Linked DNA regions of Mus musculus. The protein of the gene in region 2 purifies or fractionates together with the protein of the main gene of each other region. This does not show direct contact. Links are inferred from orthologs where the notes say so. Each region holds a gene or a part of one and is shown on either strand. Other genes may lie near its edges.

Region 1 (10,094 bases), on a different chromosome or scaffold from region 2:
AAAAATGTATTTTTTTAAAAAATTGCTTGATAGGAAACAATTTAAATTGTGCCCACTATATATATTATGTAATACACACACACACACACACACACACACACACACACACATAATGAATAAATGAAATGACAATCCTTTTCACTAGAGAAAAGGGTCATGAAGTCATAAACAGTCTTAAATTCTGGATTTGGATTATTGTAATCTTATGGGATCCTTTCATTTTTAACTTATTGTTTTCATGTATGTATATACATGATGCATGTGCACATGACTTGTGTGTGCATAATGTGCATGTTTCCTTTTAAAAGATTGTTCTCCACTTTCTTTTGATTTTGGATTTTGAAAACAAAAGTGTTTTATGGATCTTCAAAATGGAGTTACATTTCTAGTTTCTTAGATAAAACTATGTAGGGATAAATATTTGATATTTAAAAATTTGAAAAATTTAAATATACAATATACATAAGATGTATTCATTTGAGTCCTTAAAAACTGAAAGAAAACATGTACCCCGATCACCCTTGGCAGTAGAAGATTTGTGCAAGCAATGTGGTGCTATGTAAGCCATCCCAGGATGTTATCTTCCAAGCTATAGAGTTACTCCTGGTACTTGTAAGAAGGAAGCAAATACAGCAGGAGAGGTCTCATGGAGTGACCTGAATTCCCGTAACACATCAGACATGTTGGTGGCCAGGAGGAGAAGATGGGATGAGGTGTCTACATTCCTCTTCAAGTCAGAGCTAAAACTGGTTTGGATTTTGTGCTGGTCTAACTTAGGTAAACATTTTGTGTACCTAGTCTTAAGAGTGATCTGAACACTTGTAGCTCACTCAGCAAGACTGATTCACTCAACACCCCAGTAGCCATAGTAATTTTCAGCAATTTATCTAGCAAGAGTAATACAAAACTTTCTATTTAGAATAAATGTATTTATTTGCAAAACACATGAAACTCAAGAAGGAAGACCCAAGTGTGGACTCTTTGCCCTTTCTTAGAATTGGGAACAAAACACCCATGGAAGGAGCTACAGAGACAAAGTTTGGAGCTGAGACAAAAGGATGGAACATCTAGAGACTGCCATATCCGGAGATCCATCTCATAATCAGCCTCCAAACGCTGACACCATTGCATACACCAGCAAGATTTTGCTGATAGGACCCTGATATAGCTGTCTCTTGTGAGACTATGCCGGGGTCTAGCAAACACAGTAGTGGATGCTCACAGTCAGCTATTGGATGGATCACAGGGCCCCCAATGGAGGAGCTAGAGAAAGTACCCAAGGAGCTGAAGGGATCCGCAATCCTATAGGTGGAACAACATTAAGAACTAACCAGTACCCCGGAGCTCTTGTCTCTAGCTGCATATGTATCAAAAGATGGCCTAGTTGGCCATCACTGGAAAGAGAGGCCCATTGGACTTGCAAACTTTATATGCCCCAGTATAGGGGAACTCCAGGGCCAAAAAGTAGGAATGGGTGGGTAGGGGAGTGAGGGGGAGGGTATGGGGGACTTTTGGGATAGCATGGGAAATGTAAATGAGGAAAATACCTAATAAAAAAGAAAAAGGGGAAAAAAAGAGTAAATGTATTTTATCCTGAGTAGAAAGACTACATGGGCCTTTGCCATAATATTTGGTAACTCACAGTTTAATATATTGCAACTACTTACTGATGTAAAAGACCTTGCAGATCTGAATTTTGTGTTCATATATTCTATTAGTCAGTAATTAATTGCACTCTCTTGGATTATTGGCCTATAATTGCATCCTTGGTAATAGTAGTACCTTAAATTTCTCTGATTTCATTTAGATTATAGGTCACTTTAATGGTTATAGTTCTGTCTTATAAGTTATTATTTTAAAGGACTTTCATTTTGAAACTTATTTTATTGAGCACATTTTATAAACATATATTTAGTCCCTTAAAACCCCACTGTTGGGGCTGCAGAGGTGGCTTAGTAGGAAAAGTGTCTGCCTCACACGTGTGAGGAACAGTTTGCACCCCACACATGTTAATGCTGAACAGTCACAGTAACATGCTTGTGACCCCAAGCTCAAGAGGGAGAGATGGGTAGGACCCGTGAAGCTGGCTAGTTAGAGTAGCTGCATTGTCAAGGTCTTAGTTCCAGCCTCCATCCACATGTGAAACGTGACTAAGGAAGCCCCCAAGGCCAACCTCCAGCATCCAGAAGCACATGAATACATATCTGACTTCCACACATGTAAACATACGTGTGCACTCAGAGCACACATACAAAAGAGCCTCTGCAAATCCTGACCCTTTTTATTTTTTAATTTTTTTTTTTTTATTGTTTGGAGACATAGACAGCTAAATAGAAAAAGACTCAAATTCACGGCTTGGCAGCACTAGCTATGACTTCCATTACCTAACCATGGGAAGTTGTCAAGTGGTTTAACCATTCAAGCTTTCTGTTTCTTATTCTATAAAAGGAGGCATATAAACCACCATTTTCCTTTTGTCTGAATTATATGAATACATGACATGGAGACACGATTGAACAGGTATCATAAGAGATGGCCATAATTCCACAGATGTGCCCTTCTAATAGATCAGCTATGTCACTGAGCAGCGTTTATGCCTGAGACAGGTACATATAATTGATATAAGTGATCTAAAGGGAAATGCAGAAATAATCTTGCAACATTTAGCAGATCACTAACATCTTTAGTTACTAAGATGGAACAGATTGCAACAAAGAGTTGACCTGCTGAGCCACTGAGAAAGGAGAGCCCATTAACAAACAGGAAGTCTGTCAGATATCCTGGGCTTGCTCCTCCTAGGCAATCAGAATCAACCGAGCATCACTTAACTCCAGGCAGTTTAGAACACTTCATTCTAGACCTGGAGCCACAAAGGGCTCCCGAGAAAAACACGCCTCTCTTAGATCAGCCTCTTTTACTTTCCTTTATTCTTATGATGAGGTGTCTGTTCTCACGTCCCCAATTCCAGCTGAGAAAATGGGGCAAATACACACTTGATTGTTTTAGGTTGGCACAATTATGTTTGAAATATAAGATTTCTAAATTACAGGTACTAGAAACATTTTTGGTGTCTGATAGAGCTAAGGTTTTTAGTCTCCCCCTTTCATATGTATATCCAGTTAACACTACTTCTATGATTAAACTAATATCTTTAGTTCTTACCTGCTAATTTTTCAGTCCAAACCTATGTTAAAACAAAGAAGAAAGGCTCAATCTGAGACACTAAAATGGTTCGTTCACTCCAGAAATGGATTTGAGGGGCAGGAGAGGGGAAAGAGGGAGTGAGGGAAGGGAAAGAAAGGATTGCCAGAGCAGGTGGGGGAGGAAAGATGTTAAGAATCGATTTATAAGCACGGCTCAATAAAATGTAACAAAGTTTATTGGGCATAATCTTTCACAGTAGCCATTTCAAGAAATAGAAAGGACAAAGGTTTGAGTGTTTTCACATTCCAGGAGCAGTCATAAATATTAGGCAGCTCGTCCAAGAACTCCAGGTAAAGTCAGAGAACCATAGCTGTTTTAAGGTCTTTAAAGTTCAAAGTTAACATAGTCCCTTTTGCTTGGAAAACCTTTTTCCAGCCCTTTACCTGAGGTAATGTCTACCTCAGAGGTGAAGGGGAGAGAGGTAAGCCAGGAGGGGTCATGGTGGGGTGGGGGGGATGGGAGGAGAGGGGGGCTGAGGTCAGGATGTAAAGTGAATAAATAACTAATGGGGGGCTGGAGGAGGGAAAGTTAGGGTAGACTGGCTTTGTTCCCAACTTAGATTCCGAATTCGAGTTCCTTAGGAACACAGTTGCCAAGGAGAAGGAAGCCCCTAGGAGTGTCTCAGCTTCACTCCAGAGAACAAAGAGTTGGGAGAAGGCTCTACCGTAGGCTGCTCTTCCAGCGCAAGGCGAAGGAGAAGACTATGGGTTGAGAGGGAACCTGTGGGGGAACTGAGGGAGGGATTTGGGGTGAAGGAAGGATCAGGCTTCCCCGGGTTGGAGGGGGGAGGTTCCGCCCTCGCCCTTTCCACTGCGGCTCCTTGTTGTGAGGCCGCGGTCGCTTTGGAATTGGAAATGCAGCGCGGCGTGTTCCGAGCACCGGGTCCCCGGAGCAGTGGGTGTCGGGCCGCCGGACCCTGACCCTCCCTCCGCCCCGGTCAAGCCGGGCGCGCACAAGCACCTGCCGGGCCACGCTCGCGGCTGCGCCGGCCGCCCGCCCGCCCGCTCCGCCCCGCCGGCCGCCGTGTGTTTACGTGGAGACGAAGATGGCGGCGGTGACCGCGGGGCCCGTGCAGGCCGGCACGAGTCGCCGGTGAGCGCCCAGCGTGTCCCGGGTGGCCACGGAGCTCTGTCCGCCTCTTTCTAAACAGATCTTTCCTCTCCACTGCGTCCCAGCCTACCCTGCAGACGCCATGGAGGACGAGGAGAGGCAAAGGAAGCTGGCAGCCGGCAAGGCGAAGGTAGGAGCGCGGCGGCCACGGGCCGCGTCGGGAGGCGGTGACCCGGGGCGGAGGCTGGGGGAGAGGCCGGGCCGCGGGGCCGGGGCCGGGGCTGGGGCTGGGGCTGGGGCCGGGGCCGGGGCTGCGGCTGGGGCTAGGGGGCTGCGGCTGGGGCTGAAGAGCCGCCCTCTCTTGCTGCTGCTGGAGACCTGATGACTGCACCGCTCGGCTTGGTTCCTTTCTCCCCGGTGCCACACAAAACCCCCTCTCACCCCGGCTGTTAACTGCTAAGGAATTGCTTCGCAGCCACCACCCTTTCACTTTCTGAAGGGAGTTCAGGGAGTCGGCCAGGCTTTGTGCTTTCCGGAGCAAGGGTTTAGGGTTTTCTTTATTCCGGGAACACCCCTGCGCTGACCATCAGCCTGCCTTCTTGAGGTGTCACGCTGGCACTCTTGGTGTGTGTGTGTGATTGGCCTGTGACAGCTGCCTCGGCAGTGTCTTGAGTGTGCCACAAGTGCCAGCTGTGAACTTGGCTGTAGGGGCGTTCTTTTTGTTTTTTGTTTTTTGTTTTTGTTTTTGCCGTTCTTTGTATATTCGTGCTTGAGGTCTTTGTCATGGCAGGCTCTTTTGTAATGTGTGGAATGGAACTTCGGGGCATCGAAAGGTTCCATAGACTAAAACACCTACAGAATTGCTGTTTTAGATAATGTATTTGTTATTATGTATTTGGTAAGTTTGATTTTGTGTGGGTATGCGGGTATGGCAAGTCATGTATAATCCAGACTTATATGTAGGCATCTTCCAGTGGGCTTACTAAATAATTTGACACTGTTATGAATGGAATAGAATGATTTCTTTGTAAAATTACCTGTTTGAGCTTACCTTTGGACCTCCTTGCTCCCAAAAATGAAGTTACCTTTAAGATATAGTGCCTTTTTTTAAGACCTTATTGTTACTGGGAATAATTAAGTTATATTTTAAGCTTATTGTACTTGTTAGTTTGGAACTGTGATATGGAAGTGTTGTAAGCTAAATAAACCCCTCTCCTCTCCAAATTGCTTTGGTCATGATGTTTCATCATAGCAATAGTAACCCTAACGAAGGCACCTACCTTTCTTTTTTCTTCTCTCACATCATTAACAAAGGAAGCAGGTCAGTAATGAGTGAAGGGCCCTACTGGAGAGAGACGTTGGTACATGCTCAGCATTAGTTTGTTAAAGGAGTGTGTGCAATAGCTAATCTTGTATTTCTAGAATATAGTTAGTTGGTTTCCCATAAGCATCCTCTGTGTAAGGTCAAGATTTGAATGTGTCTCTGTGGCATTCTATAAATGGAGGGAAAGCCCAGCTTAGCTTCCCATTGTGCACCCCAAGGGACTGACCGGGCTCAGAGCATTGAAGGAATTGGAGGTGTAGTGTGCAGTCTTCCTCTCTTGTTCTCCCACCCTTTCTTTCTTTAGCAGAATCTTAGACTATAGTCCAGGTGAGCCTAGAGATCAATGTGTAGTCCAGGCTGGCTGGCTTCAGACTCTAGGGCAATTCTGTGTTAACCTTCAGAGCGATGGAATTCTGTGTGTGAGCTACTGTGTCCAGATAAGGTAGATGTCTTATTGACTACTTCATAATTTCTACTCCCTTCCCTAAATATATTCTGTGCTAAATATGTGTGAGGGACTCCTGCTGAGCTTTGTCTGCCTTCACTAGACCTGTCTTAGGGTTAAGTTGCTGCCAATAGATACTGGATTTATCTTTAGAAGAGATTGTGAATGTGGTTTCTACACATGTCTCTTTGTCTTTCAAAATGCTGTCTTTGTGGGGTTGGGGAGATAGGTGGTCTATTCACTGTGTGAACTGCTTGCTGTACAGGCATGTACACCGGGGTTCATAGTTGTAGCGCCCACACAAAGCTGGACGGCTGGACATGGTGGCATGCATCTGTAATGCAGGGCTTGGGAGAAAGGGACAGACAGACCCGTGGGACGTCCTGTCCAGTCCTCTAGCCAAAACACCAAGCTTGAGTGTCATCTGGACACCCTGTCTCAAAACATACTATACAAGGTGGATGGTGACAAGGGACAGCAAATGTGTCCCTGCACATAATTCATAGCTCTGCCTTTGGGGATGCAGTCTCTCTCCTAAAATTACTTTATTTAAAATATTACTTTGTCATAGAATTGCACCTACTCTCCCCATGAGGGTTATACCCATGTGTCTTATAAGTAGTTCTGGTAATGTAACAAACAGACACTGAGATAGCCTATGAAGACAACATGAAGAAAATAGTTTTCTCAGTTACCTGAAGGAATGTTCTGCAGCCATTACGCTTGTAGAGCCTCAAATGAACATGGGTCATAAAGTGCACCTTGTGTTTTCAAAAGCACTACATGTGTCTTTCATCTGTATAAACATGCTGCCTCTAATTAGGAGTGAAAAAAAAAACCGTATTGTGAATATAATCAGTGACTGGGGGGTGTAGCTCTGTGGTGCAGTGCAGAGCCCTGGATCCAGCTGACTTCATAAAGTCCCGTTTTATGGCAGGAATTGAAAGTACAGATGTGATGATTGCCTCTGCTCTGTGGGTCTAAAGGCAGACACAGGGTAGTGAGTCAAGTGCGGGCGCTCTGCAGTAGGGCCTGTGATAATTTATCTTCCCTAGTTTGGTAAAATGTTTTAGATACTGTTTACTTCCTGGAACATTATACGACGATGCTCTATTATTATGTTAATGCAGCTTCTAATTATCTATCAGATAGTAATTATTCAATACAATGTCTGCTTATTGAGTGAACAGAATGAGAAATGAGTCCTCCCTGGGTGCTTCTTTGTAAGTATGGCTACTACATAGTAATAAAGAATTCTTAGTCTAAAGTTGTTCATTGCTGCATAAGAAAAGAACATATAAAATCATTTTCCAAAACCCATTTAGAAGCTTGGTTTTCCACATTTCCTATTTACTGGGCTTAGTTGTTGTCTTTGATAATTTGTTTTCATAAATCACAATTCTTAAATCTTTTTCTTGGTAACTAACTGATTGGTAGGTTGTTTCATTGAAAATTTCCATTTATCTAGAACACATAAACACTCACTTTAAAAATAGCTTGTCATGTATACATTATAGTATATTTTACGAAATGTTTTATACCAATCTAAATCCAGTAAAGGAGAATAAATTATGGTGTATATGTAGCACAAGATCATTCTACAAAGACTTTAAGCTGGGTAAATCACCACAAATAGTGCTGGGTGAAAGGCTGTTGGGCTGACCAGCTCAGTCCCTGCCCAGTCCCAGATCCAGGGCTCTGAGCTGGCCCACCCAGTGTCTCTCCCATCTGTGAGCTGCTTCACATGTAAAAGGGGCGGATCCACAGCTCAGGACCTCCAGTGTCATAGGACAATAGCCTCTCCTAGTGGACTCCATGTGAGGAGAACCTTATCGCTACGGTATGGTAAGGTGTGTGCTGTCCCATAGAGCACTGTGGCTTAACTAGGTCCCAGTATGGATGCTGTCATAGAAGCCAGAGGCCTTGAACTGGACCAATGACCTGCAATGGACATTTCCAGGTAGACATGTGTGGCCAGAGGGTATTCTGTGGCACACACTGTGACATGCTACAGACAGATGTTTTCTATGCTTTCTTTTGTTTACTTATTTCTTTTACTTGGGACAAAGGGCAGACACAAAGGGACGCAGAAAAGTTGCTTTTTTTCAGGTATTTGGTCTCCGTAACAAGAAAAGTAATTAACCTGAAAGATGTCTGGCAGGAAGCACCAAAGGCTAGCACAGCTCCTGTTCTTATGGTCCCAAGCCGTATCCCCATCCCCACAATAGTTCTGTTATCATTAGGAAAAAATTAAAATACTATTTTAAAAAATAATCAAACCTTATCGCTACGGTATGGTAAGGTGTGTGCTGTCCCATAGAGCACTGTGGCTTAACTAGGTCCCAGGTGCCCTGTGGTCCTGGGCTGGTTCTGCTTTACTCAGCATTGCTCGTGTCATATAGCTGGCTTCGGTGTTAGAAGGCATTTGGGCGATGTCCTTTTGTTTGTTTGTTTGTTTGTTTGTTTTTTGTTTTTTTAAGGCAAAGTGTCATGTAGCCCAGGCTGGCCTTGAACTCCTGCTCCTCCAGCCTGTCTTCAGCACTGCAGACGGGTGCCCCAGACACTCCAAGCCCAGTGGATCTCTCTTGCACTCATTGCTGGGGACAGATCATCTGGCCTTACCCCTTCCTTTCCTTTGCTCCTACTTTGCTGTTTTAGGTCTGCAGTGACTAAAGAACCCAGAAACTGGGGTTCATAGACGAGTTTGTGAAAATTCCAAGGAGAAGGGAGCCAAGCAGAGCAGACTTCTCTGCCAGCTTAGTGTCTTCGTGGTTGTCTTTGCATTTGCTGTAGGGTCCTCAGTATTAGTGTTGTAAAAATCCTGTTTCCTGAGGAGAGACGATATTACCAGATTATTAAGTATTTTCAGACCCAGGCAAACCCTGTTTACTATGAAAAGATCAGGAATGGCACCACAGAGGCTGTCTGTCCTGTGTTGAACCAAACATTTCAGCTCCATTTTAAAAGACTTACTTTTTCCAAGTAAAATTACTTGGAAATTTACTGTTTTATGAAGAGTATTATAATACAACTATATCTTCAAATCATATTAGGAATGTTTTTAAAAGCTTGGTACGTACAGTACAATTTTTAAAATGGAAGTTTTGTGCCAGGGAGGCAGTGCTTTATATAATAGACATTGTTTAGTGAATTAATTAAAGTTCTTGGCTTCTTCATTTTTTGTCAGCAGTTATGATTCTTATATGTTCACCAAGCATTCACGGTTTGAGTAGTACCAGGTATATGCAAAGAGAAAAAGGCTTTCTTTTCTTTGAGATGTGGACAGCCAGGGTTTTCACCTTCTTTCTGTACAGTTGCTCCTTCTGTTTTCATGCGCACTTCTTTCCTGCCTTCCTGATTCTTGATAGGCGGTCTTAGGTGTGACAGAAGTATCTAGTCTAGCGTTCTCAGCAGTGCAGGAGTTAATGCCTTCATTCACAGCATGGCAGAGCAGGAATCGAAAAGTCATTCATTATCTGCAGGTTTCACTGAAGTGAGAGAAAAATGCTTCTTCAAAGGCAAGGTCTCTGGAGTAAACCCCCAGTGGCAAAACACAGGGCAAAGAGACCCAAGGGAAAGCTTCACCTGTTTGAACGGTCTTTGTCCCACTCCTTTGTCACAGTCCTCCTCTGGCTGTCCTGCTTCTTTTCTACACGCTGTTACTCAGCAATGGCAGTACTCTCCATCAAGCTGAAGGGGTCAGGTGACAAACATGTTCCAGGTATCCTGTGACAAGAATGGATCCCAGATCTTTTTTTCATTTTTAATTATTTATTTATTTATTTATTTATTTATTTATTTATTTTTGAGACAGGGTTTCTCTGTGTAACCCTGGCTGTCCTGGAACTCACTCTGTAGACCAGGCTGGCCTCGAACTCAGAAATCTGCCTGCCTCTGCCTCCCAACTGCTGGGATTAAAGGCGTGCACCACCACTGCCCGGCTCAAAAATCTTTGAAAACAATGTCCTATTTCAAGATTGTGTGTGTGTGAGTGTCTTCCCTGCATGCATATGTGTGCACTATGTGCATGCCTAGTGCCCTTGCAGTTTAGAAAAGGTCCCCTAGAACTAG
Region 2 (10,072 bases):
CCACCCTGAGCCCAGCCCCTCTTAGTTCCGTGCTCAACAGTATACCTAGAATACCTAGAGTCCCTCTCTTTGGTTCCCACCCTGTTCTGTTCCCCCCAACACACACACACACACACACACACACACACACACACACACACACACACACACAGAGACATTCTCTGTCCAGCTTTTTGGAGAGGGCAAGGACCTCATAGCAGCCCCTTGCCCAGCCTCCTCTCTGCCTCAGTGTCCTTCAGAACAGATTCCTTGTCCAGGGTAGGGCAGGCATCCCCAAGAGCCCTAAACCAACCAAACCAAACCAAACCAAACCACACAACAACAAAAACCCCTTTATTTGTTGTATGTAAATGCTTGTACCATGGCATGTGTGTGGAGGTCAGAGGACAAGTTAGGGTTGTCTGTTCTCTCCTTCCATACGAATCCCAGGGAATACAACCTGGACTGTCAGACTTGGTGGCAAGCAACTTCACCCATTGAGCCACATCTCAAAGGTCCTAGGAGAGCATTCTTCTTCTTATCTTCCCCCAGGACAGACCTGGACAGTTATGAGTATATTTAAAAAAAATGGAAACACACATGAAAGTAAATAGCTCAGTATAATTCGTGCATTCACTATAGTTCCAACAATTCCTAATTCAGAGGCAGTATGGTTTAATCTGCACCTGACTCCCATCCTCTTCCTGTTGATGGTTTCAAAACATCAGACTTCTATCCACACGTTCTTCTGTGTGTAACCTTTGGCAGGCATGGCCTCCTCACACCCTGAAGCTGGTGCAGAGAAGGCAAGGCAGGCCACATCTTACCCTACCCCCTCTCATTTTCAGAACAAAGAGCCAAGCAACAGTCCAAGGGCAACGAGGACTTTGCAAGTCTTATTATGAACAAACTGGGTTTTAGGATATTAGGCATGCTTCAATTGATATATTTGTTTGTTTTTGGAGATAGGAGCTCACTCTGTAAACCTTGAACTCATGGCAATCCTCCTGCCTCAGCGTCTTGGATTCAGGGATTACAGATTCGAGTCTCTCTGTGCAGCTGTGCTGCTTGAATTCTGCTCTTGCTCAGACTTTTCCAAGTGTGTGTGTTTGGGGGGTGGAGTTTACACAAGCATGGGTATATATTTGTATGTGGTGGAGTATGTGTGGTGCACAAGGGTGTGTGTCTGTGTGTACATGTGTGTGAAAACCAGAAGACAAATTTTTGGTGTTGTTCCTCGGTGGCAGTCCATCTTGATTTTTGAGACAAGGTCTCTCTACATCTCTGACTGTCCTGGAACTCACTGTGTAGAAGAGGCTGACCTTGCACTCACAGAGATCCACCTGCCTCTGTCTCCCAAGTGCTGGGATTAAAGGCACGGGCTACTATGCCTGGTATATGTCCCACATTTTTATGTGGGTTCTGGGACTGAACTCAGTCTTCATGCTTGTCCAAGCAAGCAATTCACCAACCAGGCCATCCTCACCCTGATCTTTCCAAAGTTTTTAGTCGGATATAGCTGTAAAGTAATCTTGAAAGGAAACAACAGAGGAGATTATGGTAATATTTTAAACTCACATTAAAGATTTGTTTTTACTTCTTTGATTTTACATCTGTATCTTTTATATCTTGGTTCCTAAGAGACTCAAAAGGATTGCTTATTTGATATGTAAACATATATGTTTGATTTGTTCAGACAGCTGGTGCTGCAAATCTCCAGGTTCTGCAACCCACACCAGATGGAAGATATTTGAAAAACAAATTACTTCTGGATTGGACTAGCACAGCTCTTATTCTTTCCCCAACAATATAATGTAGACTACTCCACCTAACATTCCCATTGTGCTCGGTATTTTGAGGAATCTAGAGATGGGTTGAGCTACACTGGAGGATGCACATAGTTTCTAAACACAGACTCCCCTACTTTACGTGAAAGACTTGAGCACTGAGAATTTTAGCCTGGGGGTCATCTGGAGTAGGAACCTACCAATATTATTACCTATGGTTCAATTATTTTTTTCCTTTGGATATTAGTGATAATGACTGTCATGAACCTTTATTGTGTGGCTCTGTTAGAGTATAAGTCAACCAACAGAACCGCAATGTGTTTGTCTTTGTGTGTGTGTGTGTGTGTGTGTGTGTGTGTGATGGACTCACAGGTGTGTGAACATGCGCTTGTGAGCATTTGCAGAAGGCAGCAGAGGGTCTCTGGTGTCCTATTATATCACTCTTTGCCTTGGCAGGGTCCCTTGTTCAACCTTAGAGTTTGAGTTTTTCAGTTAGGCTGGAGCCAGAAGTCCCAGAGTCTTTGCCCCCCGCCCCACACACAAGCATGCAGAGGGTCACACTTGGCATTTATATGAGTGATGGATTCTTAACACTAGTCTTCATGCTTGAGAGGCAAGTTCTCTTAACCACTGAGCCATCATTTCAGCTGCTTATCTTTTGCTAATATAAGCCACGTTGCAGTAAGCACACAGGTTTATATGCTTATGTATTCTCTCTCTCTCTCTCTCTCTCTCTCTCTCTCTCTCTCTCCTTACATAGCCCAGGTTGGCCTTGAACTTACTATGTCGGTGAGGATGGCCTTGAATTCCTAATACTCTTGTAAACTCCTACCTCTCAAGTACTCAGATTACAGGTGTGCTCCACCATGCCCACCTTCATCTTCTGTTTTTCTCGTTTGTCTTTGGGTTGGCTATTAGTGGTGGGATTTCCAGGTCAAAAGGCACATACGCTCTTGCTAAGGCTGCCAAGATGCCCTTCCCACGGGTGATTAGGAAAGCACCTGCCACCCTGGCCTCTCCCAAAGATTGTGCCGTCAAACATCTGGAGTTTTGCCAATCAGATAGTGGGCCGCTGGTATCAGAGTGTACTTTTAATTTGCATTTTCTTATTATGAGTGAGGCTGAGAATGTTTTCCCCCTGAGGCACCAAGGCTGCATGCCTCTTTCCCTGTGTTCGGATCCTGTTTTCAGCCCACTCTCCCACAGCACTGGCTGCGGCAGTCTGCCCAGGCTTTAGATGGTCCTTATGTATGAATGATTATTATTAATCCTTTGCCTGTGGTGGTGAAAACGGCCTTGTCTCCTATCTCCTACTTCCCCTGCGGCAACTTTCTGCTTTATCTGCCGCTTCCGGATTTCACAGCACAGTTGGAAATGTTTTCCTTAGTGACAGTTTCTTGAGGCAGGTGCTCTTCCCCCACATCCTCATCAGACCTAGGTCCTTGCATACACCAGGCACACACTCTACCTCTGGTTATAGCAATGGCCCCTCACCTTTGTTCTTTCTGCACAGCTTTCACCAAAGCCTTTGATCCACCTGTTCTCGTATCCTTCCATCACTGCGATAAACACCAGGACCAAGAGCAGCTTGGGTGAGGAAAGGGTTTATTTCAGCTTACCAATTACAGCCCATCTTCAAAGGGGGGCCAGAGAAGGACCTCAACCAGGAACCTGGAGGCAGGCCTGCTCAATATTCTACATAGCACCAACTCCCATCAAAGAACTCATTCACAACCAAGGAAGTTGAGCAGAAAACCCAGAGGAGCGCTGCTTGCTTGTTTGTTTGTTCTCAGGCTCATGCCCAGCTACCTTTCTTATATAGCTTAGGCCCACCTGCCCAGGAAACAGACACGGCCCACAGTGGGCTGTGTCTTCCCACATCAACTAAGACAATCAAGACAATCTTCCTCAGACACACCCACAGTCTAATCCAATTTAGGCAGTCCTCCTACTGATTCCCTTCTCAGATGACCCTAGGCTGTGTCAAGTTGACAACTGAAGCTAACAGGACGGTATCTGAAAGTTATTCTTGTGAGTGGTGTGAGAGGTGGGTGTGGCGGATCACAGGAGAATGGGATTTTGGAATTGTCCTGGGATGCAGGTGCCCTTCCATCCCACACAAAGGCCAGTGTAGCAAGAGCCAGCTGCACAAACCTTCTGACTATCCTCACACCACCACGGGACATAAAGCTCCTTCTGTGTCACTCTGGAGAGGTACAAACTTAAAGGGAGTGTAAACATGTAAACGCTCAGGCAGCCCCGCGGGCGGTGTCTACCTGTAAAACCCGCAATCTAGCACTTGCCTTTGACCCCACTCTTAGTGAGCACCACTCTTGGTCTGTTCCCATCTCCTCCATCCCGCTGTCTTATGGGCTGCGATTAACTACTGGGAAGAGATTTTCGCATTCTCCGCCGCCAACAGAGGCTTCTGGACACCCAAGGGTGCTCAGTGTCCGCTGGGCTAACACTTCCTCATTCTGTGCCGGAAAGTGTCCATGCGTGGCCTGGGATGCCCTTTTCTGCCTCCCGCTCCCTCTCTAGGGTAGGTTCAGATAGCGAGAAAAAGGGTGCTTGTGATTCGTGGTGGTGGTATCTGCTGGTCCCAGGTTGGAGGACCCTAGAGCCAAGCAGGCGGGCGGTCCTCGGGGTGCGGGGAAGCACGTGCGCCCAGCAGGTGCGCCCAGCCCGGAACGCGGAGATAGCCTGACTTGGCTTGGCGGAGCAGGTAACCCGCTGGCTGAGCAAGGCCGCAGGTAGGCGCGCGGTGGCGCCCAGGGGCGGGGCGTCCTGGGGGCGGGACATGCCATCCCCGGGGACCAACCCCGCCCCCGCCCCCAGGCGGAGCAGACAGCGGCCCCCCGTGGCTGGGCTGGCAGCAGTGGCTACCCGCGCTGCGCCCTGCGCTCTGCGCTGCCTTCACCTCAGCTCCGAGGAGCAGCGGGGTCAGGGGTCCTGTCTGGCCATGGACACGGCCTCGTCCCCGCCCAGTGCTGAAAGGAAGCGCGCGGGTTGGAGCCGCCTGCTAGGCGCCCGGCGGGGCAGCGCGGTGGTCAAGAAGTGTCCCTTCTCACTGGAGCTGGCCGAAGGTGGCCCTGAGGGCAGCACGGTCTATGCGCCCATCGCGCCAACCGGAGCCCCCGGGCTCGCGCCCCCCATGTCGACCCCAGTGTCGCCCGCCCCGGCCCCTGCAGACCTCGGCCCACGTCCGCGGGTGAGCCTTGACCCGCGGGTCTCCATCTACAGTGCGCGCCGCCCGCTGCTGGCGCGCACCCACATCCAGGGCCGAGTCTACAACTTCCTCGAGCGCCCCACGGGTTGGAAGTGTTTCGTGTACCACTTCACCGTGTGAGTAACCTCCCTGCACGCACGACTCTTAGGGCTGGTGCCACTATGACCCTAGGGGAGGCAAGGAAGGGCTAATCACAGAAAGCAGAAACCAGACTGAGAGTCGGTCCCTTAAACTCAGGGACTCTGCTGTGGCTTGTGGAGGGGGACACTTGCAGTACACCAACCTAGGAGATCCCCCAGGGCATTCACTTGGGATAGAGGGACAGCGCTTAGATGTTAGTCTCTACAGGAGGAGTAAGCAAGCTGGAAGCCGACCTTTTGGTGTGGGTCAGTTGTGACAAGAGAGACTCAGGAGCCTCCAGGAGTGACTGGTGTCTGTGTGCAAGCCCATCCAGGCCTTGGCTGGTGTCTGTGTCTTAGGCACTCAGAGCAACAGGATAGATTAGCAGGTGCACTGGTGTTGCCCAAGATGTCCACAGGGAGTGCCCACAGCTTCAATAACCCAGGCTGATGAAAGCAGGCTTGATGCCCTGAGCGAGCCCAGTAGACATTGTCCGAGAACAGCACCTGCTTTAGGGAACAGGAGAGGGAGCTGAGCTGCACCTGGCCCTCACTGCTACCAGGTGGCTCTTATTCTCACAGGCTGCCTGAGAGGGGCAGGGCACTTCATTTTTCAAGGGCAGGGTCACAGAAAGTCATCTCCAGGAATGGGCTGGCTGCCCTCCTTGCTGCCTCCCCTGGCCACCTCGAGGCAGCACTTCCTGGCTGCCTAGTTTCTTGGTGCCCTGCCAGCCTCTGGCTCAGGATTCTACTCAACCGACCCCGCAGCTAATTGCTTTAGATGTTCCACTAGGTGACCTCCTTGTGGCTAGTCTTGCCACCTGGGCAGGGGAGGACCTCCACTGGTTGTCCAGAGGTCTGTTTATGCCTCTGAGGCACAGCAAGAACCAGGCTCACAAAAGTGAATTCGGATGGCTGTTTGCCTTGCAAAGGGAGACGATTGCCCAGGGTATCCAGGGCAAGTCTCTGGACACCCTGTCCCCACTGGCATTCTTGGTATGTCCTTAAGGCCACCCAACCCCCTGCCTTACCTCCCAAAGTGCCAGGACCCCTGAGGCTTCATTGCTGGTCTTTCGAGGATGGAGGCACTGCATGTGTTTGCAGCAGGAGTGGGCTTTTCTCAGGGCATAAAGACCCCAAAGGGCCTTAACCTTAACCACTGTAGGAATGTCTAGCAAACATGGCTTGCTGCTTTCTATAACTTGCCTGCTGGATCCTAAGATCCCTGAGATGAAAGGTGCTGGAGAAGCCGCTACTCTGTTACCTTTTTGTGCAGGAGCCCCATTTGCCAAGGTGGGCAGCCTTCAGACACTTGCATGGAATCCTCCTGGGGATGCAGGTCATTAGAATGAGCGTTGTTAAGTTCCTGACTCTGGTGGCCTGGACCTGGTGGAGGAAGAGGGCTTGTCCTGCCCCAGAGGAAGTCTGTGCTTACACTGTGCTTTCTTCCTGAATTGGATTGTTCAGCCCTCGGGAAGTTTGCTCAGCAGAGCTTGCCTTTGCCCAGCCTCCTCAGGAGCCAGGAGCCAGGAGCCAGGAGCCAGGAGCCACTGAGCCCTGGTGGCTTCTAGATTGGTGGTCTAAGATCTTCTTTGTCAAGGAGAGGGAGAGAGATGCTAGCTCCTGAGTGGTGGTCGGTGAATCTTGCCCAGCCCTGGCTGCCCATGGAGTTTAGTTACAAAGAGGGAGGGGTAAGTAAGCTGGGAGGACCCTGCTGGGTACAGCATGTGGTTTGCTCAGACACTAGGGGGAGGGATCTCATCTCCATCACCTTCAGGAGGTGGGCAGGACCCTCTGGGTCAGGCAGTTTCCAGAAAAGAGTCATGGCCAGCAGTTGGGAGCCTAACATCTTTATAAAATGTGTGGTCATGCTGGTTGTCCCTGGTGATGTTCTAAGAAGCAAATGTGGCTGGCAAACTGTGAGCTCCGCACTTGGTAAGATGGACCCTTAAAACATACAGGGATGGTTCTGTGGCCCAAAGGACAAGCCTGCTTTTGAAAAGCAGGGCATGAATGTGTGGGGGTGGAGGGGGTGGAGGGGTGAGAGCCAGTGTCCTGCAGTCTCTGGGGTATGCTTTCCCACATGCGTATGGGGAAACAGACCCGGACATCCTGGCCCCTCCTTGGGGGACCCCTGCCTTGGCCCAAGTAGAGCGGCTCTTCCTGTGTCTGTGCTGACCTCCCCTGCTTGACAGGGTCAGGACACTGGTCCCCAGGCACTGCCCTCTGCTGCTTGGGTTCCCACCCCACCCCCTCACCCTAATCCTATCTTGTGGCTCTTTGAGTTCCCATAGAGAGCAGCCCCCTTCCTAGCCAAGGTCACAGGGGTCCAGCTGCCTTGCTGTTGGGCCTTGGCCAGGGTTGGGGGCAGATGTTCCAAACTATCTACTCTGACTGTCAAGCTGCTTGGAGACCCTGGTTGTGACCAACAGAGGGGTTTAAGAGATACTACCCACCTCCCTCACTTTTGAACCTGAACTTGATCATCCTGTCTCTATCCTCTCACAGTTCTGGCTTGCTCAGTTCCCTGAGAACTTTTTGGTGGCTTTTGCTAGTACCTCAGGGAGTTGATCGTGAGTGGAGCTTACAGCTACTCCTGGTAGTCAAATGGGCTGGCCTTTTTGATTGCAGGGGCTGCAGTGTATTGGTTATGACTCTCATGGAGTGGCCAGTGGGCAATTAGTTAGCAGACCTAGGAAGATGGCTGTCAGGATGATGGGGACAGAGCAGTGAGGGCTGTGTAGATGACCAAGTCTTTCCTTCTGGTTACTATAAACACCTCTACCTATTCTTCAACCCTAGATAAAATTTGAAGCTTCTCCACATGCCATCTCCTCTGGGGCCTGGTCCCTTGGTGTCATCAGCTAACTCTCTTGGCATCTTGACTTTCCAGGTACACATAACCCCTCAACCTGTCCTCAGACCCAGCCTGGCATTTCTGTGTACACTGTGTGCCTGTGTGTGGAGCACTTCATCTTGGTTTGTTCTGAGTTGGGTGGCCATAAACATCCCTTGTGGCAAGGCTCCCAGCTGGGTAGTAGGAAGAGACAATCCCATGGAACTCCGACCTGAGGAAGAGCCTCCCTACCCTGGACATGAGGGCATGGGGACCTATGCCAGGCTAAGGTAGTACTGGGAGCTGCTGAGGCAGGGAAGAAGCCCATGGTGTCACAAGGACAGGGCATTGTCAGGCCAGCTGCTATGGCCTCTGTTTCTCAGGGAGTTTGGTGTTTAGAGCCCTCTGGTGGCAAAGGTAGTGTCCAGAGCTCATGCTTCCTGGGTGTGGTGTCCCCTTTGCAAACAGTGCTTACTTAACAAAGCACAGTGCAGGGTGGCATCCACAGCAGGTCTGCCTAGCAGTGAGGAGAGCTGCAGCTGTCTCTATCAAGTGGCTCCTGAGTAATAAGATGCACAGTTCTGGTCATGGCCAGTGTAAGGGCCCCTGCTCCTCCCACCCTCTCTCTTCTGCACCCTTATCTAGGAAGTGGACCCTGATTAGCCCCATGGTCCCTCCTGGCTCTGACATTCCAGTCCAGCTGTTGCCTCCTATGTACCTTGCTGTGATTCATTTCCCTCTTCATGAGATTGACAGGCTGGGGCAGACACCAGGGCATGTTCCAGGACCAAAAGGAGTCCAGGTGGTATGGGGATGGGTGGTCTGTCCCAATGAAAGGTTGTAGAGAAGCTTCTAGAAGCTCTTATGCCTCTGGTAGGGAGAATGAAGGAAATTAAGTGCTGGCCACAGGGGCCACTTGGATGCTGAAACTAAGGAATAGTTGCAGAGGGAAGGTGCAGGCCCTTTTGACACTGTGGGGAAGCATAAGAAGTAATAGGTAGAGCAGGAGGTAGGCTGTGGCCCTGCAGGGCCTTAGGGCCAAAGAGTAAGTGGTGCTACTTAATAGATTATGCCATCTAAGCTCTGCTCATCCTACCTGAGGCACTCAGGGATGTATCCTCCTTGCTCTTCCTCATGGGAATCCCTTTTCATAACCCCTTGGAGCATGCAGAGCCCCAGATTTCTGCAAGCCTCAGAGAGGAGCCAGTGGTTGCTCTATCAGCAGGGTGACTGTGGCCATCACAAGACCTGACTTTTCATGAGGCTTCAGAGCCCGTGAAAGGACTGCCTCTGTGAACACGTTATCTTCTGCTGTGTGGCCCAGCCCCGTTCCCTGGCCCTGCCCAGAGGCCTCTTGAGAGGTGGAGGGGACTGTAGCAGTGGCTCTGTCAAGGGCCTGTCAAATATGGCTACTTGCTGTGTGCATCTGGGAACCCTGGAACTTGGAGACAGTAGCTTATCTGCCTAAGGTCACACAGTTGGCTATGCCCAAGAATCCAGGAGCTCCCTCCTCATAAACCACACGCTGATCAAACCAAGTAAGGAGTGGATTGCTATTCTTCTGGGAGTAGAGTCTCTGAATGGAAGGATCTTGTCCTGTGGGAATGAGTTGGAGTCTGACATGACAAATGTCAGACGCAATACACACTCTGTCAAATGTTCAGAAGCTGCTTCCTCCAGGAAGCCTTCCCAGGCACATATGTGCTCAGTGCCTCTGTCTTTGTCCCCTTGCCTTGCCTTGCCTTCAAGCACATAAAGAATCCATTGGTAAAACTGTCTGTCTGTCTGTCTGTCTGTCTGTCTGTCTGTCTGTCTCTCTCTCTCTCTCTCTCTCTCTCTCTCTCTGTGTGTGTGTGTGTGTGTGTGTGTGTGTGTGGTGTTAGCAAGTATCTTGATGTTCCTGAGTGCTAAGAGGCCATACAGGCAGGGCCACCTAGAGCTGTCTGGCTCCTTTCAAAGGCTTTCTTCACCTTTTACTTTACCCCACCCTCACAGCCTGGGCTGTGGCAACTGCTGCCTGGAAAACTCTAAGCCCCACGACAGGCCAGACTGATGACATCTGCCTGCAGTATTTTTATCCAGTGGCATTCCTGAGCTTGAGAAAGTGGTGGGTAGATGCAAA

The links. Proteins that work in one complex are often made in the same cells at the same time.
Region 1: the proteins of Kcnq1 (region 2) and Akap9 purify together in Homo sapiens (affinity purification with western blotting; 3 studies listed by BioGRID and IntAct, with this or other methods). This does not show direct contact. The link is inferred for Mus musculus from reciprocal best matches to the Homo sapiens genes KCNQ1 and AKAP9.

Annotation. Positions count from the first base shown.
Region 1 is NC_000071.6:3,924,047-3,934,140, forward strand, and holds the start of Akap9 (A-kinase anchor protein 9), read left to right. Parts: upstream 1-4,139; 5' UTR 4,140-4,396; coding exon 4,397-4,444; intron 4,445-4,542; exon of another isoform or gene 4,543-7,910; intron 7,911-8,362; exon of another isoform or gene 8,363-10,094. UniProt on the Homo sapiens protein: Scaffolding protein that assembles several protein kinases and phosphatases on the centrosome and Golgi apparatus. Required to maintain the integrity of the Golgi apparatus. Required for microtubule nucleation at the cis-side of the Golgi apparatus.
Region 2 is NC_000073.6:143,102,631-143,112,702, forward strand, and holds the start of Kcnq1 (potassium voltage-gated channel subfamily KQT member 1), read left to right. Parts: upstream 1-4,728; coding exon 4,729-5,111; intron 5,112-6,568; exon of another isoform or gene 6,569-6,805; intron 6,806-10,072. UniProt on the Homo sapiens protein: Pore-forming subunit of the voltage-gated potassium (Kv) channel involved in the regulation of cardiomyocyte excitability and important in normal development and functions of myocardium, inner ear, stomach and colon.